Linked DNA regions of Callithrix jacchus. The protein of the gene in region 6 interacts with the protein of the main gene of each other region in a biochemical or structural test. Links are inferred from orthologs where the notes say so. Each region holds a gene or a part of one and is shown on either strand. Other genes may lie near its edges. The genes, in order: UBE2Q2, UBE2J1, UBE2L6, ubiquitin-conjugating enzyme E2 C, UBE2R2 and UBA1.

Region 1 (5,756 bases), on a different chromosome or scaffold from region 6:
TCAAAAAAAAAAAAAAAATACAAAATTACAAATATCAAATTGGGGGGGAAGCTAATACTTACTTAGAAGGGGGCCTGTGTAAGTGTGAGGGGCCCTGAAACTTATTTCACAGTGAGTCCACCTCTGTCTGTGCTATAATAAAAACCAAACCAAACACAAAAACCTCCCTTTGCTTTGCTATTGCAAACCATTGTTCCATCTCTTTCTCAACACCCTGAACTATTCAAGGAAGTGGGCTAGGTACATTCTCTTCACTTTAACATCACTTTGACCTCATGCCCACTATTCTATTGTAATGGTTTTCTCTGACGCACCACTGACCTCCTAATCCCTAAAGCCTATGGCACTTTCTTAGTCCTGAACTTACTTGTCCCTTCCTCAAAGAATTCAACACATGGGTCATCGCTGACTTCTTCAAATGACTCCTTTCCCACTCAGGCACCCATGGTGAGCCTTCCTCAGGGTCCCGTCAACATCCCAGGTTGTCTTCCCTCCCTTGTGACTCAATGATCACACCTATACCATGGCTTCCACCATCACCCACCACCTGTGTGGCTGACCCAGTGTTATGTCCTTTGCTCTGACTACCCTCATCAACTTCACACTTAAGATACAAACTCTCCAAGTTCCATCAGCCTACCAAATTCAACCTATTTTTCTTGATGTGTCAATGACATCACTCCCTCCTAGCCACCTGCTCTAGAAATTTCAAAGTGTTACTTTAAACAAGTTTCCTCTCTGTCCTTCTATCCTCTCGTGATCTCTAAGATGTAGCAGTTCTGCCCCACACTGATTCCCAGTGCGGTCCTTTCTATTGCCATTTTCCCTACTTCAATTTTACTCACTATTGACTTGGACTGATCCAAGCTGGGATAGAAGATGGTAGAAGTTGGGGCGTGGCCAGGACACGGTAGGGTGGTTTGAATGATAGGAGACCCAATTTGTAGGCTGTGGGGAGCTACTAAGTTACTCAGGTAAATTGGGAAAATGTATGTCTTCTTGCAGACTAAACAAAAACTTTCCGTAGACTTAATGTGTCCCTGTGTTGTTCCGTATTTTGTCATGTAAGGGGAACAGTACCTCGGGGACTTCTTGTAGATTAGGAAAAAGAGACATTTAGGTGCCAGGGTTAGGTAACTCTAGGTAAGACTGGTTTAAAAGGAAACTGCGGGGCCCCTTTTTGAAAAATTACGAATTTCAAAATGGTGACACGAGAGTACTAAACCAAACTCGGAACCCTTCTAAGCTGGGAGCACTGTGCAACTACACAGGTTGGATGCACATGCAGCTCATCCTGCCCCTCGCATTTATTACACACAGTGTTGTCTGCCAAATTGGGATCTATTCCTTTGGACTGCCATGCAGTCCTTTATTCATTTTTTGAGCACCTAGAATGTGCCAGGAATTGTGCTAGTGGTGGGGATTCCAGATAAGAGCGAGCATTCGATTCAATCATATCGGGTTTCTACCATATAACAGGTCTGGTTCTAGGCCCTGGGGATACAGCTCTTAACACATTAACATTGGGCAAATCAACGGCGAACAGATCAGGTGGTGACAGGTGCTCAACAAACTTAGCACAGGATGATGTGACACAGGGTGACTATTTGAAACTGGGTGGTTAGGGAGGCCCGGAGATGACATTTGAGCCAAGAGTTTAATGAAAACAGCGGGCAGCCCTGGCTCCATAGGGATGGGAGCAGAGAGGGTTATCTTAAGCTCGGGAAATAGGACAAAATAAGGAAAGTGGAAACAATATATACGGCAGAGTGAACACAGGTGGTAGTTAAGGGAAAGGATAAAATCTTGGGAGGTAAGAGGAAACAGCCTGCGGGTGCCAAACCATCGTCTGGGTAAATGGACGGTTTGAGAGCAAAGACGGGAGGAGTGAGTCCCGCGAGAAGGTCCTCACAGGACCCAGGCTAGCGAAGCGGTGGCTTACACCAGGGTGAGAGGGGCGGAGGTGACGCTGGGTGGGCCGCACCCGCGTCTCCCACGAGGTCCCGCTGGTGTGGTTAGCGGGTGCCGCGCCGAGGGCCAAGCGGAGGCGCTGCCCCCAGGGGCTGGCTCGGGTCTGCAGCTGCGCCGACGTGGCCGGCGCGATTCGCCGCGCACGTGTCCGGTCCCAAGCCAGGCGCGGGGACGCGCGGGGTCTCCGGCTCCTCCCCGAGTTCTGGGGCCCGAGCGCCAGCTGGCTCAGAGCTAACAGTCCGCGGGTGCGAGGAACGAAGCAGATGGGTCGGGCAGAAGGGAGCTGGGTCAAGGCGAGGAGGGGGCGGCTGGAAGTGCCCGCGCGCGCCCCGGCCTCGTGCACGCGCCGAAACTGGTGCGCGCAAGGCGCGCCGGGGTGAGGAGAACGGGGGCGGGGTGGGGGCAGCCCTTTCTCAGGCGGTGGTGGGGGCGGCGACGCTGTTGCCCTTTTAAGCCGCCGGGCCACCTCCTCCTGCCGCTGGAGTGGGTTACAAAGGGAACAGCACTCCAGGCAGCCTCACAGCTACCCGCCGAGGTTTCCGCGCCCCTCGCCATTTTCCAGTCGCTCTCGACGAGGCGGAGCCGCCAGAGCGCGGCCCAGGCCGGCCCCGCGGGGCGGTCGCGGCCGTGACTGCGGCTCCGGGCCCGGCTCCCCTTCCGCGCCCCTCCCGCTGGAGATGAAGGGAAGATGTCCGTGTCAGGGCTCAAGGCCGAGCTGAAGTTCCTGGCGTCCATCTTCCACAAGAACCATGAGCGATTCCGCATTGTCAGCTGGAAGCTGGACGAGCTGCACTGCCAGTTCCTGGTGCCGCAGCCGGGCTGCCCGCACTCGCCGCCGCCGCCGCTCACGCTCCACTGCAACATCACGGTGAGGCACCCGACCGCGGCCCCGGGGGGTAGGGCCAGGGCGGAGAGGGGGCGCCCCGAGTCCTGGGACAAAGGGGGGTCTGCCCTGAGAGGCCCCGGCTCCACGGGCGGGGCAGGTCCGCCCCTCTCCCTCGCGACTGGCCCAGCCCAGGTCCGGCTGGGGCCGTGCGAGGCTTGGGTGGGAGGGGGCGGGGGGCGCGTCTCTGTCCGGTTTCTCGCTCGGCGTCCGCTTAGGGGCTGCTGGCCCCTCTCGGCCCCCGTCGCCGCTCCGCGAAGTGCGAGCCCGCGGCGGCCCGAGCTCTCACGGGGCCCATGGCCGCCCTTAGCCGGCCTGCTCCCGGGACCGCGGCGGGGCGGGGAGGCTCTGGCTGTTGTTTGAGCCCAGGCGGGCGAGGGGAACGGTCCTTAAGTTTTAACGCCTCATTCTTCAGTCAGGTTTTCCTCGTTCCCGCTTGTGTAGCCAGTTCTTTTTAAGTTTGCGTTTAAGGAGAAACTGACAATGAAAACGGACTCGTTGACCGAGGAAAAGTTGGAATGCGGCCCCTGGTGCTGTTGGAGCGACCGCTCTCCCCGGGCCTGGCTGCGCGCTGCCGTGTTGTGAAAAGGCGCATAGTACCCGTCGATGCGGCAGGTGGTGTTGAGTGTGTGTTCGTGTGGCTCCTCCCGTGTGTGTAAGCCTCGAAAATGGATGGGTGAAAGGAGATTCGCGCCAGGGCTGCTCCCAGGAAAGATCACTTGTGTCACAAAGCCGAAAAGACACTTTGAAAAGCTCACTCTTTGGTTTAAGCGGAAAGCTCGTTAGAAACCCAAGGCTTGGTAGAATAGTTGAAGTATTAAGTAAGTTTCTCCATAAAAGTGTGTCATGATGCTATTCGTTGTGAAATTGATTTAGGATATTGGTCCCAACTGCTGAATATTCTCTTGGTTGTAAAAGGCGTCAAGGTGGTGGTTTCGGTCTCCTCTTCAAATACGGCTAAACCGAAGTCTCTTGTCTTTAACTCCCTTTGGTTGAGTCGGTGGGCACCAAGTGCCTGCAGTGTGGCTGGTGTTTGCAAAAACCTTGACCTTATAATTGGCCTTAAAATGTTTACCAGACTATCTGGGGAGAAGATGTGTTCATTTCAGAAGACAGTGCAGTTCAGTGATGTATTGAGGAGAGAAATCATTTATTGAATGAATACGTCTGAGTGTTCTGGGCACTAGTGTTGCAAAATTGAGCAGAGCAGTCCTCGCTTTCAAAACTCAGACTTCTTGGGGGAAGAGTTTTCAACAAAGTGGCAGCTCCTGTGGTATCTCGTGAAAGGCAGAGTGAGCAGCCGGTTTTGATTTGGGGGAGGGGGGTGTGCTTCAGAGAAGGCTTTCAGGAGAGGCTGAGACAGTTGGAGCTGAGCTTCCATAGGTGAATACAATTTTGGAAGGCTGGAGGAAGGGCTTTTGAGACTGAGGAAACTCCACCCAGAAAAGACATGGAAACTTGAGAAAGTGTGGTTTGCTTAGAAGTAGAAATTTATGCTCAGACTTGAGAAGCCCAAGATGTAAGAGGGCGAAGGGGAAGATTTTTCCGAGAGTGGAAACCGAAGCGTAGGAGTGGGCATAAAGCACGTGTTATAAGGAGACTGGCCTGAATGGCTTGGAGGGTGATTATTCTCATAGAAGTTGGGGCATGGCCAGGAAAAGGTTGGGCTGGTTTGACTGATAGGAGACTGAATTTTGTAGGCTGTGGGGAGCTACTAAGTTACTCAAGTGAATTGGGAGAATGTATCTGCCATCCAGGACTAGAAGTGTTTCTCTGCAGTGGGTGGCATTAGGAAGTGTGGTTATCCCACTGAGGGTAGGGTGGTCTTGTTGCTGTGCTGGCATTTAATGCCAGGGGTGCAGAGATGCCAGATGTTTTGTTACCTTCAGGCGGTATGCCATAACAAAGAATTATCTCACCTAAAGTGCTCCTGGTGCTCCATCAAGAACCGTACTGGACACTGCCAAGAGTCTGCTACAGACAAAGATAACGAGTGATCCCTGGATTAGGCAGTGGCAACAGAAGTGGAGCAAGAAGTGAAAGAGACACTTTGAGTACAAGGAGGATTTGGTGAGGACTAGCGTAATGGCACCGCTAAGTAGAAACTATTAAGATTGAGGTGCTAGTGAAATTTGACAGACTATCAGAAGATAATTATGGCAGCTGCTCAGTACAAATGTCTGCTAACTTTTTATTTTGGAAAAACATCAAACGTACAAAAGTTGAACAGTGTAATGTAGCCAGCATCAACAATGATAAACTTTTGGGTAATCTTATTTCTTCTGTGCTCCGCTTTGGATTATTTTGAAGCAGATTCCAGACAGATCACTTCATCTGTAAATATTTCTGTTTGTATCCTTTGAAAGTAAAGACTCTCTTATGTTTTATTGCTAGTTTTTGAGACGGAGCCTCACTCTGTTGCCCCAGCTGGAGTGCAGTAGTGCGAACTGGACCCACTGCAACCTCCACCTCCCGGGTTCAAGCAGTTCTGCTGCCTCAGCCTCCCGAGTAGCTGGGATTACTGGTGTCCACGTCTGGCTAATTTTTGCATTTTTATTGGAGACAGGGTTTCATCATGTTGGCCAGGTTGGTCTTGAACTCCTGACCTCAAGTGATCCACCCACCTCGGCCTCCCAAAGTGCTGGGATTATGGGAGTGAGCCACCGTGCCTGGATGTAAAGACTCTTCTAAACATGGATGAGTGTTTTGATAAAATCAACATGGCTTCTGCATGTCCATACCATTTGTTTAGAAGGGAAAGATCAAGGGGAAAATGGGGTTGGATTTCAAATTATTTGGTTTGATTTATGATTTGTTGTTCTCTGAAGTTGTAGCTCTTAAAAAAAAAAAAAAAAAAAGGGCCAGGCGTGGTGGTTCATTCCTATAATCCCAGCACTTTGGG
Region 2 (5,007 bases), on a different chromosome or scaffold from region 6:
AAGTCTCTACTATTCAGAGAGTGAGCTGGGCAGGGAAAAGTTTGTTGAAGAACAAGGGAGAGGGTGGTACTATAGGGGACTGAAGATGGAGGTCCAAGAAAAAAGCATGTGGGGATCAGTTTAATCATTTTTATGTGATCCCAGTGTAATTTATGAATTGCAGAGGAAAATAATAAATTAATTTTAAAGTCAGTATGTTTTAGTTTAAAATACTAAAAAAGCTTTCTAATTACTTTCTATTTCATAGTTTTCTTAAGGAAGGTGATAATCTTTTTTTACCTTTTAGGACAGCCTCCTAATGTTTGTGATGTATTTAAATCCTTTGTGTATTTTAAATCTATGTTAAGTCCCCCTTGTTACATATTCCAGTTATACTTATTCCAGTTGTAATTTACTTTGTAATTATTTATTGTCTATCTCTCTTCCCAGAATGTAAGTCCCTTGAAGGTGAGGGGTCTCTTTCAACTTCTCCACTGTATCCCCAGTGCCTGGCTTAGTGCCTTCTATACAGTAGATTGTCAGTGTTTATTTGTTGATTGAATGAATGAATCTTAGGATTGACACTTTAAAAAATGCTAGGAATATAATTAAATAAATCAAGAAGTAAATTAGAGTATACAAACAATGATGTTATTATAGTAGTATTTCTCATTTTGATTTTAATCTACATAAAACTTAGAATTCTTATTCATAGATATAGGTCATTAATTGATACCATTTTTGGTTAAAATACCAACAAGCAATCAGTTGTCTACAATTGCAAGTTAAGCTTTTAATTATATTTACATATAAACTATCTCAGAGTATGATTATGTAATTTACCACTGTGAAAGTAACTGAAACCAGTTTGGCTAAGGGTGATTACTTTACATTAAATGTAATATAAATTCATTGATATGTTATACATCAAATCCCAGATAAGCTATGATTTTTTTTTTTGTTGTTGTTAGCCTTGAGGAGGAGCAAGAGATTGTTAAAACTCTAAATACAGCTGATAACATCAGGCCATCTGCTGATTTTTGTTGCAGTTATTTTAGCATCAAGAAGTAATGGGAAATGCAGAAGTGGGAAAAACACTAATGGCAGTTTTGTTCTTGGAATCTATCAGATTTTCCCCTTTTCCCAGGGATTGAGGTTCTGAAATAAGCCATTTCATTTTATATTAAAAAGCAAAACTCCCTCACACATGCTGGTTATTCTAGGTTATTATAGAAAAATTTGTATGTGTATATATATAAGTATATATATCACTAGGGACTTAACTAAGAATGTGATTTTTTTTTTTATGAGACAGAGTCTTGCTCTGTTGCTCAGGCTGGAGTGCTGCGTGTGATCATAGCTCACTGCAGACTCAAACTCCTCAGCTCAAGTGATCCTCCTTGCCTCAGCCTCTCAAGTAGCCAGGACCACAGATGGGCACAACCACACCTAAGTTTTTAAATTTTTTTGTAGAGATAGTGTCTTGCTCTGTTGGCCAGGCTGGTCTCAAACACCTGGGCTCAAGCAGTCCTCCTGCCTCAACCTCCCAAAGGGCTGTATGATTGTTTGAAATAGGAAACATTTTAGAATTTTATCAAGGTACTCAATTTTTAGTCAGTGTTATACCATCCACAAGGCATCTGAGGCTGGGCACAGTGTCTCATGCCTGTAATCCCAGCACTTTGGGAGGCCAAGGAGGAGGATTGCTTGATCCCAGGAGTCCAAGACCAGCCTGGGCAATGTGCAAGATCCCATCCCTAAAAATATAATGATTAAAAAAAATAGAGACAAAGGCATCTGAAACACAGGAACCTAATTAAAACATTATATGTATATAAATACTTTCAGTAAGTGTATGTGTTAAAATATCATCTAGGGTCAATGTTTTAAGGGATTGTTTTTCTAAATATATCAATAAAACTAATAAAAGGCCAGAAAGCTGTCCTGAGTTACAACTTTTTTTTTTAACCTAAATTTAGATGCCTCCGAAAGGATACATTATTAGTAACTATCATTACTGGTAGTGTTGCCTTTAGCCATATGTTGTACTCTGAGATTCTATGTATTCTTGAATAGATAACAAGCATTTATACAAATCTTCTTTGCCAGTTTCAAACAAAATTTCTTAAAATTTCCTAGAATGGAGTCCAGAATTCCTCAGCAGCATCCTTTCAACAACCTACCCAGCCTGTAGCTAAGAATACTTCCATGAGCCCTCGACAGCGCCGGGCCCAGCAGCAGAGTCAGAGAAGGTCATCTACTTCACCAGATGTAATCCAGGGCCACCAGCCAAGAGACAACCACACTGATCATGGTGGATCAGCTGTACTGATTGTCATCCTGACTTTGGCATTGGCCGCTCTTATATTCCGACGAATATATCTGGCCAATGAATACATATTTGACTTTGAGTTATAATATTGTTTTGTGACTTAAGAGCTGTGACTCAACTGCTTCATTAAACATTCTGCATTGGGTATAATGTAAGAATTGTTTACAAAAAGATTATTTTGTATTTACCCTTCATTCCTTTTTTGATCCTTATAAGTTTAGTATAAATATATCTAGACATTCAGACTATGTCTAGCAGTTATGTCCTGCTTAGTGTAAGGGACTGGAAGTCAAAGTTCCTTGTCTCACTATTTGATCTGCTTTTCAGGGAAATAACTTGTTATTTTTTCTCATGCATCGCCTTCTTTTTATGTAAATTTGTAATACTTTCCTGTATTGCCCTTTGAAATTTTTGGATAAAAGATGATGTTTTAAGTTCCAGTGAGTATTACTAGTTACTCAATACCATTTATTGAGTACTCTATTTCTACGTATTTAGAATGTATAGGGTTAAAACAGTTGAAAAGGGTAAGCAAAACTCAAGTAGTTTCCTTAAAAAAAGTCATTCGTAGGAGATTTACTGGGATTGCTCATTCTGTGACTTTGTGTCCTCAACATTCTTCAGTGAAAAAACTTTATTTCAGTCAAACATTTATGAGGAAATGAGATCACATCTTTGTCACTGGATGTTACTTGAAGAGGGAGTACTTTGTAACCACTTTGATATGCTGTTATCACCACCCCCTGACCCCTGTTGCCATACTCACACAAATTTAACAAGAAGTAAAACAGTCTTCCATAGATTTTTGTTTTAAGGAAGAAAGGGTCCAAGCTAGGAGATCGCTTTATTTTCTTCCCAGAAGTTAAATGGGGAGATCTTAAGATTTGAATGTTTGCTCTGCTTTGAAATGTATGTCTTTTGAGATGTATTATATGCCTAGCTTTATAATCACTATAAATTTTAATTCCAGGAATATGCATAATATTGAAATATTTCATGTACTATTTTAATAGAAAACCTCAGGGCCCAGGTAGCAGTGATAGAAGTTAGAAAAACATTTACTTAGAATTGTCTACCTAGTCAGAGCCCAAGAAAGAATTTTGAAAAATCAATATATAACTTAGTGCTAGCTAGCTCCACAGACTCTAATAGATAATATTCTCATTATAATGCCTGGTGAGACCATGTAATCACAGAAAAACCTTGCCTTCAGCATGTTCAGAATTGTCTACCTAGTCAGAGCCCAAGAAAGAATTTTGAAAAATCAATATATAACTTAGTGCTAGCTAGCTCCACAGACTCTAATAGATAATATTCTCATTATAATGCCTGGTGAGACCATGTAATCACAGAAAAACCTTGCCTTCAGCATGTTCAGTTCGCAGCACTGAAGGCACTCTTGAGGGTGTTGTTAATGAAGATTTAATTTTTAAATGTAGGTAGTCCCAAGCTTTCAAATAGGTTATGCTCCAAATGGGTGTTTGTAAGTTAATTTTTTTACAAGTCAAACAATGTTGGAAATTGTGTTTAGGTTCTAGATCAGTCCACAAAAGTTAGCTCATATGTGTATATCTTGGATAGGGGAGGGTATTCATAAAGTCCTTATGTTGTTTTAACCAACTGAAATTATGGATAAGAGAAACAATTTGTAAAATCATTTTAAAGGCAGATTTAATTTTTATTCCTGTTTATGGAACATTGGTTCTATTAAAACTGTCAGACACAATTTCTGTTTTCATCTGAGAGCCAGTTTTCTTTTATTTCTACATCTAAAATAAGAACATATTGTACACTATTATATAATACAGAATTGTCTTAAACTTTAATAAATTAGCATTTTAAAGGTGTTTATAGATTGTTTTTTATATCTGTACTGAAATTGATAAAGTCTAAAAAGCTCAAGGACTTTATGAAGAACTCATGTGGGGAAAATCATAGGTTACCATTTATGACTTTATTGCCATGATAAAATACATTCTAAAATCTTGATGTGAAACATACTAGAGATATTGGTTCAGTGCTCAGTGGTTTCCTAGCAAGAAGTCACTGACCCAGCTGGGAAAACCAGGTAGTATCATATGAGAAGAAAGGAATCCCCACCACTTTAACCTCTGCTGAGATTAATTGTGTGCTAGGAACAGTCTTCCTTCCATTTCCCCTCAGTCAAACCTGAGCCAGCCTCTGGATCAGTGTGATCTTGTTGCATGTTTCCATGGGGTGTACCTATACTTTAAGCCAATCCTGCTGCATTCACTGCTAAGTTAAAAAAAAAAAAAAGCCAAGAAGATTTTGCATTTTGCAGATCCTTCTCTCTCTGACTTGCATCTCTTCCCTCACCTGTCAAGTAGCTACCTGCTTGTTTGTGTTGGGATATTTTTTAGCACCTGATGCACCATCTGAAAGTGGCACCATTTTCTTCTTCCCTTTCGCCTCACATATGCTCCCTAAAAATCAAATTGTCAATCTGACCCCCCCCCCCGATGTGAGGTTAATGAGCAAAATCGGTCTTTGGAGCCTTCTTGTCCAAGCCCCACTGAAAAGTCTCCAGAAAACTATTATTTTTAAAGTTCTGCTTTAACTCCTCAATTCCAGCACAAGGCCAAAACTTAAGGATATATATTCTGGCAAGTAAAGACTGAGGACTCCTTACTTTAATCCTCAGATGTAGATAACTCATGACTTTTTCTTTGACCAAT
Region 3 (4,680 bases), on a different chromosome or scaffold from region 6:
AGACTTTGGGTCAAAAGAAAAAAAAAGAATTAAAATTAATTACAATTAAAAATTGAGTTCTGCCTGGGTATGGTGGCTCACGCCTATAATCCCAGCACTTTGGGAGGCTGAGGTGAGTGGATCACCTGAGGTCAGGAGTTCGAGACCAGCCTGGCCAACAGGGCAAAACCCCATATCTACTAAAAATACAAAAATTAGCCAGGCATGGTGGCACATGCCTGTAATGCCAGCTACTCAGGAGGCTGAGGCAGGAGAATCGCTTGAACCTGGGAGACGGAGTTTGAAGTGAGCCGAGATCATACCACTGCACTCCAGCCTGGGCGACAGAGCAGGACTCTCTGTCTCAAAAAAAGAATTGAGTTCCTCCATTACAACCACCACATGTGGCTAGTGAGCCAGCCAAGTGCTGTCATTTGCCATCTGTATGAGCTCAGGCAACCACTTCACCTCTCACAGGCTTCAATGTCCAGGTCTATTAAACATGACAACACTACCTCATGGGGTTGTGGAGGAAATACAAATGAAGTCGGCCTGAGATGCTCTTCGCACAGTGCTCAGTCGAGTGACAGGTCTTATCATTATTATTAGGCCAGTTCCCTCCACTGTCATTTAGGACACAGAGTCCCAGAAAGGATCGAAAACTTGCCCAAAGTCTACAGAGGGAACAGGGGGCTTTCTTATCCCGAGCCCTTCCTGGTGCAGCCAAGCTGCCTCTCCCATGAACCACGGCAAAGTTCTTCTGTCACTACTGCCCAGGTATAGAAACAGAGGCAGGAGGAAGTCAGCCTGTCCAGGAAGCACCCCTTCTATCTCACAGTAAGTTCAGCCAAGACTCACAGTTTTTATCTCCTCTTTTTTGGGCTTTTCAAGCTCAGAGTAAGTCTGTGAACCCCCTCTCCAGTAATCTCTCCTCCTCCAATAGCAGTCCCTCCTCCAGGCAAAGCCCAGACCCACCTTGGCAAGTCTTGGTGCAAGGCTTCCAGTTCTCGTTGCTGATGATGGGCAGGCAAACCTGTCCATTCTCATCCACATTGGGGTGGTAGATCTTGGTTGTGAATTTGATCGTGGGAGGCTTAAACGGATACTCCTGGGGGAAGCTGATGCACACATTGAAGGCCTTGAGGTGGTAAGGAGGTTGGTCCTGTGCAAAGAGAAAAAGGATCAAGCTCTGGTTTGGTTTTCCTCCCCTCCTGCCCCCATCCGAGGGTCCTAGGTATTGTCTGCTTCACTTCCAGGATGAATCATGAGCCAGGGTATGCACGGCACCTGCATTCATTTGACAACTGAGTTATGGATTACTCAAAGTGTGGAATCACCAAAGGGCACTGGCCTAGTGGGCAGAGAAGTCCGATCCTGGCCTTTGCTGTGTGACCACAGGTGAGCCACTTCCCACCCCTAGGCCTCAGTTTCCTCAATTGAAAAGTGGATAAAGATGGCCTAGGTGAGCTCTAACAACCATCTCAGCTTTCAAGGCTTTCTGAGATTATGGAAGAAAAGGATAGAACATCCTTTCTTAGGACAGTAGAATGGGGGTGAGGAAATGGAGAAAATGAGAAAATCCTAAGAACTCAAGAGCTTGGGAAAATAAAATGGTGCAGCTGCGATGGAAGACAGTATAGCAGGCCAGGTGCAGTGGATCACACAGTAATCCCAGCACTTTGGGAGATCGAGGCAGGCAGATCACGAGGTCAAGAGATCCAGATCATCCTGGCCAACATGGTGAAACTCTGTCCCTACTAAAAATACAAAAATTAGCCCAGCGTGGTGGTGCGCACCTGTAGTCCCAGCTACTCGGCAGGCTGAGGCGGGAGAATCGCTTGAACCCAGGTGGCGGAGGTTGCAGTGAGCTGAGATCGTGCCACTGCACTCCAGCCTGGTGACAGAGCAAGACTCCGAGTCAAGAACAAACGAAAAAACAAACAAACAAAAAAAAAAAACAGTATAGCTGTTCCTCAAAAGATTATACACAGAACTACCACACAATGCAGCAATTCTTCTGGGTATGTACTCAAAGAACTGAAAGTGAACAGGTATCTGTATCCGGATGTTTACAGCAGCATTCTTCACAATAGGCAAAAGGTGAAAGCAAACGAGTGTCCATCAATGGCTCAGCCAACAAAACGTGCCATATACACACAATGGAATACTATTGGCTTTAAAAGGAATGAAATTCTGATGAATGCTACAACATGGATGAAGCTTGAAGACACTGTACTGAGGGAAATAAGCTAAACAAAGTGCTGGGATTACAGGCGTGAGCCACCTCCCCAGGAGGGAGAAACCCCAGAACTTGGGTGACCCCAGTGCAGAACACAGGTGCCTTCAGGCTGATTCCAAATTACCAAATCTTTTCAGAGCTTTTGTTATTGAAAGGACAGAGCAAAAGACAGCAAGAATGGCCTATGTGGTTAAGCGGAGTCAAGATTTTCAGAGCTCCTCCTCCTTAATGGGCAAAATAGAAACCACGGTGATCTTGAGCACGTTGAGATAAGAGATGGAGTAACTCGTAGGAAGATAAAGAAAATATCTCAGCTCTTATGGTCTCAGTAAGAAAATAAGAAGACAGTGCTGGACTTGTCAGTCGGAGAAGGCCAAGGGCTGCAGCCTCAGAGGAGGATGGGAAGGTGCTGTGGTTGGATGTTTGCCTCTGCAAACCTCATGTTCAGATTTCATGAAACTTGCTCCCCAAGGCCGGTGCGGTGGCTGAGGCCTGCAATCTTAGCACTTTGGGAGGCCGACACAGGCGGATTACCTGAGCTCAGGAGTTCAAGATCAACCTGGGCAACATGATGAAACCCTGTCTCTACTAAAATACAAAAAATTAACAAGGCATGGTAGTGTGCACCTGTAGTCCCAGCTACCCAGAAGGCTGAGGCAGGAGAATTGCTTGAAACCAGGAGGCAGAGGTTGCAATGAGTCTTGCTCTCCGCTCCAGAGCAAGACTCTGTCTCAAAGAAAAGAAAAGAAAAGAAAAGAAAAGAAAAGAAAAGAAAAGAAAAGAAAAGAAAAGAAAAGAAAAAAAGAAGAGAAAAGAAATCTGATCCGAGTGTTGGAGGTGAGGCTTTGTGGGAGGTGTATGGGTCATGGGGGCAGGTCTCTCATGAATGGCTCAGTGCCATCCACACAGTAATAAGACAGTTCTTACTCTAATACTTCCCGAGAGAGCTGGTTGTTTACAACGTCCTGGCACCTGCCCTCTCTTCTCTCTTCTCTCTCTCTCTCTCTCTCTCTCTCTCTCTCTCTCTCTCTCTCTCTCTCACTTCTCTTGCCATGTGATCTGTATACGCAGCTCCCCTTTGCCTTCCACCATGAGTGGAAGCTTCCTGAGGCCCGAGGCCTCACCAGAAGCAGATACTGGTGCCACGCTTCTTGTACAGCCTGCAGAAGCTTGAGCCAAATAAACCTCTTTTCTCTGTATATTACGCAGCCTCAGGTATTCCTTTACAGCAACACAAACAGACTAAGAGAGGGTGTAGGTGTATCCTGTCTGAAGGGGCTTCTTTCTGGGCTTTGTAGGTCTTAACAGAGGAAGGAGGTAGCAGAGTCCTGGAGCTGAGAGCTCTGGGGACCTGTCCCAGCTCTGCCTCGGACTTGCTGTATGACTGAGCTTTCTCTGAGGATCAGTTGCCTCATTTGTAAAATGGAGAAGTTGGACCAGAGGATTCCATACTGTGTCTTACTGTCACTTGAGAAAGTCCTACTACCTTCTAAGTACTAGGTTAAATAAGGTATTTTGCTCCTTTTTTTTTTTTTTTTGAGAGAGAGTTTCACTCTTGTCACCCAGACTTGAGTGCAATGATGCAATCTCGGCTCACTGCAACCTCTGCCTCCCAGGTTCAAGCAATTTTTGTGCCTCAGGTTCCTGAGTAGCTGGGATTACAGGAGCCCACAACCACGCACAGCTAATTTTTGTATTTTTAGTAGAGACAGGGTTGCTGTCTCTACTAAAGAAAAAGAGTTTTGGCCAGGCTGGTCTCAAACTCCTGACCTCCGGTGATCCACCCACCTCAGTCTCTCAAAGTGCTGGGATTTCAGGCGTAAGCCACTGTGCTCCACCTGCTACTTTTTAAAAAAAATTTTGAAAACTATTCATTTTTCATGGAGTGGTTAAGAGAGAAGACCCTGGAGTCCGCTGAATTCCACTCCTACTACTTTATTCTGAGTAAACACAGACCAGTTACTTAACCTCCTTGGTTTCCATCTCTGCAATTTTCAGAGAAAGAAAACCTTCCTCAATGGATGGTTGAGAGGATAAAACAGCACTTGGTCCACAGGAGACTCTCAGGGAATGAGAACCCTTACTATTAGCTTCAACATCGAGGCTGGGCACGGTGGCTCATGCCTGTAATCCCAGCACTTCCGAGGCAAAGGCAGGCAGATCACAAGGTTACGAGTTTGAAACCAGCCTGGCCAATATGGTGAAACCCTGTCTCTACTAAAAATACAAAAGTTAGCTGGGCATGGTGGTGGGCACCTATAGTCCCAGCTACTCGGGAGGCTGAGGCAGGAGAATTGCTTGAACCTGGGAGATGGAGGTTGCAGTGAGTTGAGATTGCTCCATTGTACTCCAGCCTGGGTGACAGAGCAAGACTCTGTATCAAAAAAAAAAAAAAAACTAACCAAGCTGAAACCTTCTATGACCAAGATATGACAAGTGGGGCCACTTTGATGAACACATAA
Region 4 (4,262 bases), on a different chromosome or scaffold from region 6:
GATGTAAATACTCCTGTATATATCTGAGTAACCATAGTTTCTTACAAATCGTAGTTTGTAAGATCTGTGTAGATCTGTGTCCTAGTCAGCACAGATCTAAGGCAGCAGAAAGTTATTTGCCCCTATCTCTCAGAAAAGCCAGGTGGAATGCTTTAAACACCTGGCACTTGAAATTGTGTTGTGTATGTGTGTCTGTTTACTGATTTGCTGTCTGCATCCCAACCCACAAAGTGTGAACTATGAGTGCAGGGGCTCTATCTACCACTGAAGCACCAGCACCTAAAACAGTGCCTAGTGGATACAGGTGCTTAACAGATATTTATTAAATAAGCAAAAAGAAAGGGAATAGTCCCACATTAAGACAGTGCATAATATGAAAACTTCACCCTAAATCATCAATAAATCTTTGAAACCACAATGTTTATTTTCAATGGTCATTTAATTGTGTCAGTTTATTTTATTAGCCAAAGTTTGTAGTATCATACTGCCCTTTGATGCTATTTGGTGCCTGGAAAATATGCAGTACAGGCTTTTCTTTCCTTCTTGTTCCCTAACATTTCTGGGGCTTGGGGGGAGACAGGAAGGGAAAAATGTTCGTGAGTCTTCACTGCTGTATTGCTCGCATAGCTCAAAGACTACGTTAGAATCATCACATCTTTCCTGAAATATGTTGCCAGCCTGCCCTTGGAAGCAGAGTCCTGATAACCTTGTGTTAAAGAGTGTCTAATGCACTAGACATTTATTTAAGATCGCTTATGTGCTAATAATGGAGACATTCAACACAGTGCCCAATTTCCTGTATTTAAACTTACTGTTAGGTCACCCTAACAACAAAACATTTCTGTTGTTTTCCTTTTATGCTTCTTTCCCTAATAAACTGTGGAAAAACTCAGAAAGAAAATTAAAAACATTTTAAGATTGCAAAAGTATAATCTTTTGAAAATGCTGCAATGTCAAGCAATGTATTTACAAAGCAATGCTGACATTTTAAAAACAGATAACATTCAATAAGTTTATTTCATTGTATTATCTCTAAGATTTTCTGAGCTATTTCTTTTTGTTTTTTTTTTCCCCCGGCCAACTTTATTTATTTATTTTTTGTCTAAAAAAACGACCAAAATGCATTTATTTAATATACATCACAAGGGCTCAACCGAGGCTTAATTTAAAAGACAAAACAAAACAAAAATAACACCACAGCTCAAGATACAGAGTCCTATACAGAAATCACAAAAAGGACAGAAGACCTAAGGAAAAATGAAAAAGATGACACAAGGACAGGCTGAGCAGCCTGGGTCAAGGCTCCTGCCTGGTGACCTGCTTTGAGTAGGTTTCTTGCAGGTACTTCTTAAAAGCTGTGGGGTTTTTCCAGAGCTCAGCAGCATGTGTGTTCAAGGGACTATGGATGTTGGGTTCTCCTAGCAGGCTCTGGATGGAGAGCAGAATGGTCCTGACATCATACAGGGCAGACAACTTGTCCTTCAGGATGTCGAGGCATATGTTACCCTGGGTGTCCACATTGGGGTGGTAGCAGGGTGTGAGGAACTTCACCGTGGGCTCATTGTAAGGGTAGCCACTGGGGAACTCTAGCGAGAGCTTACACCTCAGGTCTTCATATACTGTTCCAGCTGCTCCATGGATGGTCCCTACCCATTTGAAAAGGTTGTCTGATTCAGGGAAGGCAGAAATCCCTTTATCGCCAGACATCATTAGGGTCATCAGCTCCTGCTGTAGCCTTTTGCCCACGGGGCCCCGGGCGGCGCCCCCGCTCGGCTGGGCTCCTTTACGGGCGGCAGCGACGCTAGTGGCGGCTGGGTCGCGGTTTTGGGAGGCCATCCGGGCGGCGCTGGCAGAGAGACAGGAACTCGGAGAACACGACTGCAACTGCCTGGCCAACTTTATTTTTAAAAATCAGGGAGGGCCAGGCGCGGTGGCTCAAGCCTATACTCCCAGCACTTTGGGAGGCTGAGGCGGGTGGATCACGACATCAAGAGATCGAGACCATCCTGATCAACATGGTGAAACCCCGTCTCTACTAAAAATACAAAAAATTAGCTGGACATGGTGGCGTGTGCCTGTAATCCCAGCTACTCGGGAGGCTGAGGCAGGAGAATTGCCTGAACCCGGGAGGCAGAGGTTGTGGTGAGCCGAGATCGTGCCATTGCACTCCAGCCTGGGTAACAGGAGCGAAACTCCATCTCAAAAAAAAAAAAAGAAAAAGAAAATATGTGGTGAGGCTGAGAAACAAGAAGTACGATTTTTTTTTCTCGAGGCGGAGTTTCGCTCTTGTTACCCAGGCTGGAGTGCAATGGCATGATCTCGGCTCACCGCAACCTCTGTCTCCCAGGTTCAGGCAATTCTCCTGCCTCAGACTCCCGAGTAGCTGAGACTACAGGCGCGCACCACCATGCCCAGCTAATTTTTGTATTTTTAGTAGAGATGGGGTTTCACCTTGTTGACCAGGATGGTCTCGATCTCTTGACCTCATGATCCACGCGCCTCGAACTCCCAAAGTGCTGGGATTATAGGCGTGAGCCACCGCGTCCGGCTGAAGTATGATTTAGTCTGAATATATAGCAGGGCTAGAGGAAGTGGCAGAATGTAGGGCACGAGGCCAAAATAGATTATAGGGGATTTGAGCTTTGTCTTATGGAAAATAGGAACTACTTAAGGTTGGTAAGCAAATACATTCAAGTTCTAAGTTGATCTACCTGACAAAAAGCTGGTGCAATAGTTTGGGTGAGAAACAATAAGGGCTTGAACTACAGATGATGGTGAAGAGAGGATTCAAGGGAACCAGAACCTTGGACTCAACTCCAGACCAGTGGGATACTACAATGTGAGTGAGGCCATTTTGGAACTTCCAGTTTGGCCCAGCCCCAGTGGAGAGCAGCTGATATGAAGTGGGGGAAGAGCCACACCATCCTCTTTGAGCTCTGCCCAAATTCCCGCTTTAAGCCATTACATTCTGGGTGCCTTTTTAGCAAGAAGAGATAACTGAGACAGTACAGCCATCCTAGGTATTGTGGCGCATTGGTTCCAGGACCTCCTGGGGACAACCAAATCCAAGGGTGCTCAAGTCTTTTATATAAAATGGCATAGGCCAGGGCATGGTGGCTTATGCCTGTAATCTCAGCATTTTGGGAGGCTGAGGTGGGTGGATCACTTGAGGTCAGGAGTTCGAGACCAGCCTGGCCAACATGGTGAGATCCTGTCTCTACTAAAAAATACAAAAATTGGCCGGGTGCAGTGGCTCACACCTGTAATTTCAGCACTTTGGGAGACCAAGGCAGGTGGATCATGAGGTCAGGAGATTGAGATCATCCTGGCCAACATGATGAAACCCCGTCTCTACTAAAAATACAAAAAAATTAGCTGGGTGTGGTGGCACACGCCTGTAGTTCCAGCTACTTGGGAGGCTGAGGTGGAAGAATTGCTTGAACATGGGAGGTGGAGGTTGCAGTGAGTGCAGTGAGCTGAGATAGTGCCACTGTAACTTTACTCCCACCTGTGTGACACAGACTCCATCCCCCTCCCAAAAAAGATGCAGTATTTGCATATAACCTAAGCAAATCCTCTTGTTTAAATCATCTCTGGATTACTTATAATAGCTAATATAAGGTAAATGCTATGTAAATAGTTGTTACATTATTGTTTAGGGAATAATGATGAGGAAAACAAATCTGTATATATTCAGTACAGATGCATTGTTTTTCCCAGATATTTTTTATCTGTGGTAGGTTGAAGCCATGGCTGTGGAACTCACAGATATGGAGGGCTGATTTTACTTTTTTTTTTGAGACGGGCTCATTCTGTCACCAGGGCTGGAGTATAGTGATGGGATTATAGCTCCCTGTAGCCTCGACCTCCTGGGGTCAAGTCATCCTACCACCTCAGCCCCTCACGTAGCTGGGAATACCCATGCTGAACACCATGTGTGGCTAATTTTTAACATTATTTTGTTGGAAATAGGGTCTCACTCTGTTGCTCAGGCTTAAGCAATCCTCCCACCTTGGCCTCAGGGTTGGGATTACAGGCGTGAACCACTGCACTTGACTTGGCCATTCCCCTGACTGTACTTTTTTTTTCTGAGACGGAGTTTTGCTCTTGTTACTCAGGCTGGAGTGCGATGGCGCGATCTTGGCTCACCACAATCTCTGCCTCCCGGATTCAAGTGATTCTCCTGCCTCAGCCTCCTGAGTAGCTGGATTACAGGCATGCCCCAGCGCGCCTGGCTAATTCTGTGTTTTTAGTAGAGACAG
Region 5 (4,225 bases), on a different chromosome or scaffold from region 6:
ATACCAGACCAAACTTCAGAGGTCAGGAAGGGCTGCTGGGAAGAAGTCATGTGTTTGGAAGTTTGAAGAGTGAAAACCCTGAGATCAGAACAGAAGGAGGAAGGAGCTAAGGAAGTAAGTGTCACCTACTCTGGCCTAAGATTCCCTTCTGCCCCTGTCCCTAATCTGCCCTTTGGTTCTGAGTTGTGAGCCGAAGGAGGAGTTGACACTAGTGCCCAGGGGTCTGAAGTAGGACTACAGTCAGTCCTTGCTACATTTTCCTTCTGAAACCTGATTTTACATTATAGCGGTTTCCTCCAAAGAATAATGCCCTCCTATGATTTGGTGCACCCCCATAACATCCAAAAATCACCTTCAAGTTCTGAAGTCCCTCGATGGTGAAGGCTGCTGGATCTCAATACTAATTGAAGCAACACGACAGAGATCTGGAAAATCAAAGCTGCAGCGAGTGCATCACAGGAATATATAGCCTTACCTGGCCTAAAAACTGCCTGCAGTCAACTCCCTCAGCCACAAGACACAATCCCAAGGGGAGCTCTATGCACAAATTCTGCTTGCGCTCCACAGCCCAAGTATGTTGAAAGGAGAAAAAAAGTCCAGCTCGCATCCAATGAAGACAGCGAGAACTGGCAACTTGTCTCACACACATCCATGTTTTTCACTACCAATCAGTATAAGCAGCTCGATGAAAAACCAAAATCTTAACACATGCACCTAGGATTAATACTGAGTAATTAAAGGTGGCTCCTGAAAAAACAAGAAACAAAACGACATGGTAAGAGTGTATTTCTGATGGGAAGGCCATGCTAAATATAAAACAGATGGTTCCTCTCCCAACGGTGGCCACCAGTAGCATCAACCAAACAGCGTAGTGATTTTTAACTCTTTGTTCCCATCACTAAGTCCACCCCCACACACTCATCCCAACTTCCCAACTTGCCCCACTCCCTGGGGGGCGGGGGGGGAGGGAGTAACAACCCTGCAATAAACAGCAACCAAGTGCTCAGTTCTATGTAAAGTATGAATATTTATTTCAGGCTTTCCATCCCAATCGATTTCAAAAAACAAAGTCTGATTTCTCTCCTCAGAATAGCTGAGGCCTCCATGTTTTAGGATGATTTCATGGAGATTGGAGGAGCATATTTCATCAGGCTTAGCACAAAGTCCCTGACACCCACCATATCCCAGCCTTAGGAAGGGAAAGAAACAAAACTCACCACCTTGGGGCTGAACGAATGCACACAGGCTAATGTAAATGAGCAGCTAAACCTTGGCAAATTTGCTTTTTTTTTTTTTAAGTTTGTTTTGTGAGTTTTTTTTTTTTCCATTTTCTTTTGCTACCCAGTATATGCAGCACTTGTGAACTCCCAACAGGTTTCAGCTTTAAACACATTAAACATCTTGAAAGACTATTTAATTCTTCAAGAATCTAAAAACAGACCAAACGTGTTTTGCTGTGAACATTCTGTAGAGACGGAGTGAGGCGGGAGTTTGGGTTGATGTTTTTTAAAAAAAGAATCAATACAGTGATGGAAGGGTAAAGAATGCAAGAATTCAGACATTCTGTGGAGGGTTACTCTCTCTCCATTAAAGGTCCATAAAAAGGAGGAAACTGAGATCCATAAGGGGAGTCAGCAGGAGCTGTGTGTTTCCCCGCCCACTGTGAATAGGTTTTTGCTGAGGGGCCATGGCCAGGTCCCCACTTGCTCCCCTCCCTTTGGCCTGAGACGGCAGGGCAGTACAGGGGCACTGAAGGAGCACGTCACGACTCCTCATTCCCAGAATCATCATCATCATAACAGTCGGCATCTTCCTCCTCCTCATCTTCATCATCAATGTCGTCATCATACAAGTCGTCGTAAAGCAAATCTGAGCTGTTGTCGTTGGAAGGCACTTTAGTTTTGATGCAGTATTCCGCCAGGGTTGTGGGGACCTTCACTCCATCCTTTTCTGCTTCAGCCTTAGTGGCTGAAACCTGTTTCCTGGAGGGAGGGTGACAAATGGTTTATGGTAAGTCACTGTTTAGAGACAGATTTATAACTGGCCTTAAATAATCATTACTTATGACTCAGATTTCCAAACTTCAGTACCTGCCTGAAAGCATCTGACAGATACCCTGTACTATGTAAACTTTGACCTTTTAGGGGGGAAATACAGTGTTATGTCAAGGAAGTTTAAAGCAATGGATCAGTTATAGCCAGAACCACTTCTGAGTCGCCTCATCACCAAAACTCATTATGTGCCCCCAACAATTCTATTCACTTATAGTAAAATTCAAATACCTTATGCCAGATTCCAAAGTCTTGCATGACCCACTCTTTTATTCTTTCTTTGAGACAAGAGTCTTGCTCTGTCACCCATGCTGGAGTGCAGTGGCGCAATCTTGGCTCACTGCAACATCCACCTCCCAGGTTCAAACAATTCTCCTGCCTCAGCCTTCTGAGTAGCTGGAACTACAGGCATGCACCACCACACCCAGCTAATTTCTGTACTTTCGGTAGAGATGGGAATTACATCATGTTGGCCAGGCTGGTCTCAAAACTCCTGATCCACCTGCCTCGGCCTCTCAAAGTGCTGTGATTATAGGCTGAGCCACTGAGCCCGGCCACACAACCCACTCTTGTATTTTCTCCCAGCCCATCACTTTCTCCAACTTCAACACATTCACCCTGGCCTTTTTTTTTTTTTTTTTTTAATTTGTATTTATTTTTTACAGTGTTAGGTATAACACCCTGGTCTTTTTTGGTATCTCAGACACACCTCGTTGATTTTTCTGTCTGCACCACTTGCTGTGCCCCTGCTTCACACATGCCTGGCTCCTCCTTGTCACTCAGAAAGCAATGCCTCGGATGTTAAGGCTTACAAATCACCTTAGAGAAGGCCTGGCCAGACAACCCAATTTAAAGAACCATCTAGTCACACTTTCACATTATCCTACTTAGCACTATCTAGTATTTTTTGTTTGCTCATTCTTATGTCTCCCCATATTCTAATGTGAGCGTCAATGTCTGTCTTAGTCTCTTCTATTTCCCCAGTGCCTAGCACAAAGCCTGGCACAGAAGAGGTGTGCAGTCAATTCTATGAGTGAACAGAGCAATATGTTGTTTCCTTCAACAATTACAAAAATTTGAGTCAAGGCACTCTTCTTGATCTTCCTAATGTCAATATCTTTTGGTTGTACTTGAAGCTCTTCTTCTGTTGCCTTGCTTTGCATATGGATGGTCCTGAGGTTTCTGAGCTTGAATCTCCACTCAGCATTCTCCCTGGGACATCAATCATATGTTCCCATATTTTAGCCACCACTCATTTTATGCTGACAGCTCTTGGCTTATATAAACAAATGCCTTTTGGAAGCTTCTGTCCTGATGTTCCATATGCAGAGGTAGACTACATATGCATTTTCTACCTCTGTAGCCAGTTTCTCCCATTTTACCTCTCTGAATAAACATCGCTTAAAATAATAAATCTCACTCCGAAGACCTATTGTTTTATAGCTTTTTTTTTTTTTTTTTTTTTGAGATGGAGGAGTCTCACTCTGTCGCCCAAGCTAGAGCACCGTAGCATGATCTCTGCTCACTGTAACCTCTGCTGCCCAGGTTCAGGCAATTCTCCTGCCTCAGCCTCCTGAATAGCTGGCATTACAGGCACCTGCCACCACACCTGGCTAATTTTTGTAGTTTTAGTAGAGATGGGATTTTACCATCTTGGCCAGGCTGGTCTTGAACTCCCGACCTCATGAGCCACTGCACCTGACCACAGCTTAAATATTTTTTTATCTGTCATCTCATCCCTACTGCTACTGCCTCAGTTTAGTCCATGTTGGTCCCCTCGTCAACTGATTTTTCTTTTTGAGATAGGGTCTCCCACTGTTAACCCAGGCTGGAATACAGCAATGCGATCTTCGCTCACTGTAACCTCTGGCTCCAGGGCTCAAACAATCCTCCCACCTCAGCCTCCCAAGTAGCTGCGATTACAAGCATGAGTCGCCACACCGGACTAATTTTTTTGTCGAGATCTGATTTTGCCACATTGCCCAGGCTGATCTTGAACTCCTGAGCTCAAGCGATCCACCTGCCTCAGCCTTCCAAAGTGGTGGGATTACAGGCGTGAGCCACAGTGCCCAGTTGACGGTCTGCCCCCTGCTTTTTATTGCATTTTAGGTTTTGGGGTACATGTGCAGAACATGCAAGATAGTTGAATAGGTACACACGTGGCAGTGTGATTT
Region 6 (5,007 bases):
ATTTAATGGGTCAGCCTGAATGTCAGGTTTTGTGCTGGGGGACTAGAGGATGCAGGCAGCAGCATTTAGCTCCTGGCCCTCCCTGCCTTTTCAAATGGTACAGCATAGTGGTTGTGGGCACAGACTCTGGAGCTAGACTGACTTACGGTGGGTCTCCAGCTCTGCTAGTGTGACTTCAAGCACGTTGCTTCATCTCCTGTACCTTAGTTTTCCTGTTTGTGGTCAGTGTGTAGTAGTAGCACTGGCTTCATGGACTATTTGTAAGGGTTAAGCACGTGGAATTGTAGCTGGAACATGATAAGGACTGGATGGGTGTTTGTTAATTAAAAAGTCCAGGCCAGAAAGAGGTACTCTGAGAGCTGAGAGTCGGCCCTCAGGGATCCCAGGTTGCCAGGGCACTGCAGCTAAATCCTGATGGAGGAGTAGGAGCTCACCCGGGTGGGTAAGGATGGACATTCAGGCAGAGAGCAAAATCCCAAAGATCATGGCGGAGCAGGCGTTGTCTTGAGAATTGGAAGCAGGTGGGTGTGGTAGGAGTGAGCTCAGACTTTGGCTGGAGACAGAGTTTTACTCCAGTGTCTCACAGGGCATGGCAGGCTCCTGTAGGCAGACAGCAGTGGGTGTTTGTCAGATAATGAGTCACCTCTTCCAAAAGCCATCCTCCCAGCTACCTCTTCACCTTTTCTGGTATAGTCCAGAGATTCATTTTTGACCCCCACAGTGTCTGATGCACAGTAGGTGCTGTGTTTTTGTGAAAGAGACTGACTCAGCAAAGCCTGGATATGTCTGCCATGAGGACTGCCTGAGTCCTCCACACCAGCCCTCCACCATTTTCTCCCCTTCACCCCAATGCTGGGCCTGAGCCTCCATCTCTCCACAGGTGGTGGTCCTCACCAACACCCCCCTGGAGGACCAGCTGCGAGTGGGTGAGTTCTGTCACAGCCGTGGCATCAAGCTGGTGGTGGCAGACACGCGGGGCCTATTTGGGTGAGTGCTGGCCTGCACCCCTCTCTGTTGCCTTTTCCCCTAACTCCTACCAGGCTCAGGCCAAGACCCCCAGGCTCTCCCTGCCCTCATCCCTTCACAGGTACCCAGGTTTTGGGTTCTGTGTGTTCATCTCTACCCATGTGGCCCAAGTACCGTCTTACATCCCAGCAGCGATAGGCTGAGTTTGCTCAGCAAGTTTTCACTACTATTTTGAGGGACCTGTGGGGCCTGTATGTGTGTGGGAGTCGGGTACCAGCCTATTGCCTCCCTCTACAGGCAGCTCTTCTGTGACTTTGGGGAGGAAATGATCCTCACAGATTCCAATGGGGAGCAGCCACTCAGTGCTATGGTTTCTATGGTTACCAAGGTAAGGAGATCAGCCCTGTGGTTCCTGGCAGACAGGTGGGCTGTGGTAGTCCTTCCTGTCTGCTCTTGGTACCCTGGGCCTGTTTCTGAGACTCACTTTTCCTTTAACCAGGACAACCCCGGTGTAGTTACCTGCCTGGATGAGGCCCGACATGGGTTTGAGAGTGGAGACTTTGTCTCCTTTTCAGAAGTACAGGGCATGGTTGAACTCAACGGAAATCAGCCCATGGAGATCAAAGTCCTGGGTGAGCTGGGACCGTGAGGGAAGCAGAGGGGAGGTAGGAGATAGGTTCCTAGGTTCTGGCCAGGGAGTTGAAGGGAGAAAATACGGCCCTGGGTTTGGAGTAAGGGGAGACACATCCTGGTGTTTGAGATGAACTACAGACAATCCCGGGGGGGTCCAACAAGAGCTGGTGGGCGTGGGGGAGAGGCGCTGTGTTCGAACTATTCCTGGGAGTAATGTATGCCTGGTATCCGAGCTGAGCGGGGAAAGGTCTCTGGTGTTTGAACAGGGCAGATCAGAGAATCTACTTGAGTGTGAGCTGATTTGGATGAGGAGCAGAGAAGGTCTTCCCATGTAGACTTAGAGCCAGGGTCACAGGGTCTCACGGAGTCTGAGCTGGGTCTGGGGCACAGGAGAGAGAGTTTCTGAAGTCCAAGTGGAGCCTGGGGTGGGGGGAGAAGGCTCCTGTTGTCTGAGCTGAGTGGGGGGCGGGGGGTTCCTTATCTTGCAGGAGTTGTGGATTTTAGGGAGAATGGGTAGACTGACAGCTCTCTTCCTGCGGTCTGTAGGTCCCTACACCTTTAGCATCTGTGACACCTCCAACTTCTCCGATTATATCCGTGGAGGCATTGTCAGTCAGGTCAAAGTACCTAAGAAGATTAGCTTTGTGAGTGTGTCGATGGGAGCATTGGGCTGTGGTGGGTGGTTCTAGGCATTCCCGAGTTCTCCATTCCTTCTTCTGGTTCTTATGGACTCCCGCTTCCCCTGCCACAGAAATCCTTGGTGGCCTCACTGGCAGAACCCGACTTTGTGATGACGGATTTCGGCAAGTTTTCTCGCCCTGCCCAGCTGCACATTGGCTTCCAGGCCCTGCACCAGTTCTGTGCTCAGCATGGCCGGCCGCCTCGGCCACGCAATGAGGTGGGTGGGTGGGCAGGCAAGCCAGCAGTGCAGACATGCCTGGTACTGAAGGCCCACCATGCCTCTCTGCCTGTCCACACTCCCTCCCCTCACTGTGGCCTGACAGATCCTCTCTTGGTTCTTTCTGGCCCACCAGGAGGATGCAACAGAACTGGTGGCCCTAGCACAGGCTGTGAATGCTCGAGCACTGCCAGCGGTGCAACAAGGGAACCTGGACGAAGACCTTATCCGGAAGCTGGCATACGTCGCTGCTGGGGATCTGGCACCCATAAATGCCTTCATTGGGGGCCTGGCTGCCCAAGAAGTCATGAAGGTCAGCATGGGTGGGGAGAGGCAGGGTTGGGGTGGGCCAGGTGCCTCCCTGACTCCATCAGTTGCTCTCCATCTGTGTCAGAGCCCTGTTAACCACTGACCACCCCTTTTCTCCTTTCCCGTCTCCAGGCCTGCTCTGGGAAGTTTATGCCCATCATGCAGTGGCTGTACTTTGATGCCCTTGAGTGTCTCCCTGAGGACAGAGAGGCCCTCACAGAGGACAAGTGCCTTCCGGTATGTGGGTGGGACTTGTGTGGAGGGCATCATTGGGGGCATTTCTGGGGAGGCCTCTCTCTAACTCTGCTCCCTTCGCATTCCTTAGCACCAGAACCGTTATGACGGGCAGGTGGCAGTGTTTGGCTCAGACCTGCAAGAGAAGCTGGGCAAACAGAAGTACTTCCTGGTGAGTGGTACCTTGGATGCCTGCTCCCCTCACCTCGGCCTCTGGCCATCTCCCCTCAGGCTTCCTTCAGCATGCCATCCATGGTGCATTGCCTTTGCCATTCTTATCTTGAAGGAAAGCCCAGTGCACCCCTGTTTCCTCCTCTGGTGCCTCCTTCCTCACATGACTGTGTGTCATTTCTTAGAGTCCTGGGCCCTGAAGATGTGGTATTAGTCCCTCTCCTCATCTCAGGGGAGTAAGGGGTGATGGGCAGCTTCACACTAGCCTGCATCATCCTGACCAGCCTCTGTCTGTCTTTTTGGTTGCCTCTTAGGTGGGTGCAGGGGCCATTGGCTGCGAGCTGCTCAAGAACTTTGCCATGATTGGGCTGGGCTGTGGGGAGGGTGGAGAAATCGTCATTACAGACATGGACACCATTGAGAAGTCAAATCTGAACCGACAGTTTCTTTTCCGGCCCTGGGATGTCACGGTGAGTACGGTGGGTGTGGGGACTTTGTCATCTCACTTTTCTCCTTTTTTTTTTTCCCCTTTGGAGATGGAATTTCTCTCTTGTTGCCCAGGCTGGAGTGCAGTGGCATGGTCTCGGCTCACCTCAACCTCCATCTCCCGGGTTCAAGCAATTCTCCTGCCTCAGCCTTCCTAGTAGCTGGGATTACAGGCATGCACCACCAAGCCTGGCTAATTTTTGTATTTTTAGTAGAGACTGGGTTTTTCCATGTTGAGCAAGCTGGTCTCAAACTCCTCACCTTGTGATCCACCCGCCTTGGCCTCCTGAAGGGCTGGGATTATAGGCGTGAGCCACTGCACCCATCTCCCTCCTTTTTCTTGTTCCCTTTTTGTTTTTGTTTTTGCCTTGACCTCGTCTTCATACTGGTTGAGATGATATGTCCGGGGTCCTCAGAACCACTCTCAAGCTCAGTTCACCGAGAGAATTCAACAGGATTCAGCATATAGTTGTGCTCGTGGCTATGATTTATTATAGCAAAAGGATACAGAGCAAAATCAGCAAAGGGAAAAAGCTGGTGGGGTGAAGTCTGGGAGAGGTGGGAGCAGCTCTCTAGGAGTCTCCTCCCAGTGGTAGTTATACAAGGTGGCCTTTATTTCCCCAGTAGCAATAGTAACGACAGTAATAGCAACAAAGTATAACATGAAATATTGCCAACCAGGAAGGCTTGTTAGACTTAGCACCCGTGCTTTTACTTGAGGCTGGTTATGTAGGCACCCCCTGCCTGGTACATAGCAAAATGTCCAGACTCCTAAAAGGAAAAGTGTTCAGCATAAACTGTATTGTTTGCATGAACAGTTTAGGCACAGTGAACCACTGATAACAGGTAGGGAGTGGTGGGAACCTTCCTGAATTCCGGGTTCCCAGACTCCAGCTGAGGGCCAACCTTGGAAGCAGCATTTTCAAGAGTTGCAGTTTCAGTCTCCTAGGCTTACACTTCTTTGCATATATGGAAACTGAGTTGGTTATACAGGGATCTCTGAGAAGCCTGTGGGGAACAATGTCACTTTTGCTTACCCAGGATTTATTCTCCCTTTCATTTATTCATCAAATAGTTATTGAGGTGCTGTTTTAGGTATTGGATATACCAAGGAATAAAACAAGATTCTTGGAGGGGAGGGGAATGGACAGCAAACAATAGATACAATACGATCGTGAGGTATAGAGTTAATGTTGGTGATGAGTGCTCCTCAGAGGAAACAGCAAAAACCAGATAAGGGAAGTCAGGGAGTCAGGGAGGATGGTTTGTAGTATTGATGATGACAGTGGTTAAGGAAGGTCTGAGTTCTG

Evidence for each region.
Region 1: of the proteins of UBA1 (region 6) and UBE2Q2, one has a biochemical effect on the other in vitro, tested with the Homo sapiens proteins (3 studies listed by BioGRID). The link is inferred for Callithrix jacchus from reciprocal best matches to the Homo sapiens genes UBA1 and UBE2Q2.
Region 2: the proteins of UBA1 (region 6) and UBE2J1 form a complex in vitro, tested with the Homo sapiens proteins (2 studies listed by BioGRID, with this or other methods). The link is inferred for Callithrix jacchus from reciprocal best matches to the Homo sapiens genes UBA1 and UBE2J1.
Region 3: of the proteins of UBA1 (region 6) and UBE2L6, one has a biochemical effect on the other in vitro, tested with the Homo sapiens proteins (2 studies listed by BioGRID). The link is inferred for Callithrix jacchus from reciprocal best matches to the Homo sapiens genes UBA1 and UBE2L6.
Region 4: of the proteins of UBA1 (region 6) and ubiquitin-conjugating enzyme E2 C, one has a biochemical effect on the other in vitro, tested with the Homo sapiens proteins (5 studies listed by BioGRID, with this or other methods). The link is inferred for Callithrix jacchus from reciprocal best matches to the Homo sapiens genes UBA1 and UBE2C.
Region 5: of the proteins of UBA1 (region 6) and UBE2R2, one has a biochemical effect on the other in vitro, tested with the Homo sapiens proteins (5 studies listed by BioGRID, with this or other methods). The link is inferred for Callithrix jacchus from reciprocal best matches to the Homo sapiens genes UBA1 and UBE2R2.

What each region holds. Positions count from the first base shown.
Region 1 is NC_133509.1:25,156,910-25,162,665, reverse strand, and holds the start of UBE2Q2 (ubiquitin-conjugating enzyme E2 Q2), read left to right. Parts: upstream 1-2,356; 5' UTR 2,357-2,659; coding exon 2,660-2,839; intron 2,840-3,141; exon of another isoform or gene 3,142-3,460; coding exon of another isoform or gene 3,461-3,469; intron 3,470-5,756.
Region 2 is NC_133505.1:95,380,552-95,385,558, reverse strand, and holds the end of UBE2J1 (ubiquitin-conjugating enzyme E2 J1), read left to right. Parts: intron 1-2,118; coding exon 2,119-2,397; 3' UTR 2,398-4,158; downstream 4,159-5,007. UniProt on the Homo sapiens protein: Catalyzes the covalent attachment of ubiquitin to other proteins. Functions in the selective degradation of misfolded membrane proteins from the endoplasmic reticulum (ERAD) and is essential for cells to recover from ER stress.
Region 3 is NC_133511.1:115,124,170-115,128,849, forward strand, and holds part of UBE2L6 (ubiquitin/ISG15-conjugating enzyme E2 L6), read right to left. Parts: intron 1,142-4,680; coding exon 955-1,141; intron 1-954. UniProt on the Homo sapiens protein: Catalyzes the covalent attachment of ubiquitin or ISG15 to other proteins. Functions in the E6/E6-AP-induced ubiquitination of p53/TP53. Promotes ubiquitination and subsequent proteasomal degradation of FLT3.
Region 4 is NC_133507.1:94,914,471-94,918,732, forward strand, and holds ubiquitin-conjugating enzyme E2 C, read right to left. Parts: upstream 1,890-4,262; 5' UTR 1,837-1,889; coding exon 1,297-1,836; 3' UTR 1,108-1,296; downstream 1-1,107. UniProt on the Homo sapiens protein: Accepts ubiquitin from the E1 complex and catalyzes its covalent attachment to other proteins. In vitro catalyzes 'Lys-11'- and 'Lys-48'-linked polyubiquitination.
Region 5 is NC_133502.1:140,789,350-140,793,574, reverse strand, and holds part of UBE2R2 (ubiquitin-conjugating enzyme E2 R2), read right to left. Parts: intron 1,983-4,225; coding exon 1,763-1,982; 3' UTR 1-1,762. UniProt on the Homo sapiens protein: E2 ubiquitin-conjugating enzyme that accepts ubiquitin from an E1 ubiquitin-activating protein, and catalyzes its covalent attachment to other proteins by an E3 ubiquitin-protein ligase complex.
Region 6 is NC_133524.1:48,161,205-48,166,211, forward strand, and holds part of UBA1 (ubiquitin-like modifier-activating enzyme 1), read left to right. Parts: intron 1-880; coding exon 881-987; intron 988-1,263; coding exon 1,264-1,354; intron 1,355-1,465; coding exon 1,466-1,598; intron 1,599-2,145; coding exon 2,146-2,243; intron 2,244-2,350; coding exon 2,351-2,497; intron 2,498-2,633; coding exon 2,634-2,810; intron 2,811-2,938; coding exon 2,939-3,043; intron 3,044-3,131; coding exon 3,132-3,212; intron 3,213-3,525; coding exon 3,526-3,681; intron 3,682-5,007. UniProt on the Homo sapiens protein: Catalyzes the first step in ubiquitin conjugation to mark cellular proteins for degradation through the ubiquitin-proteasome system.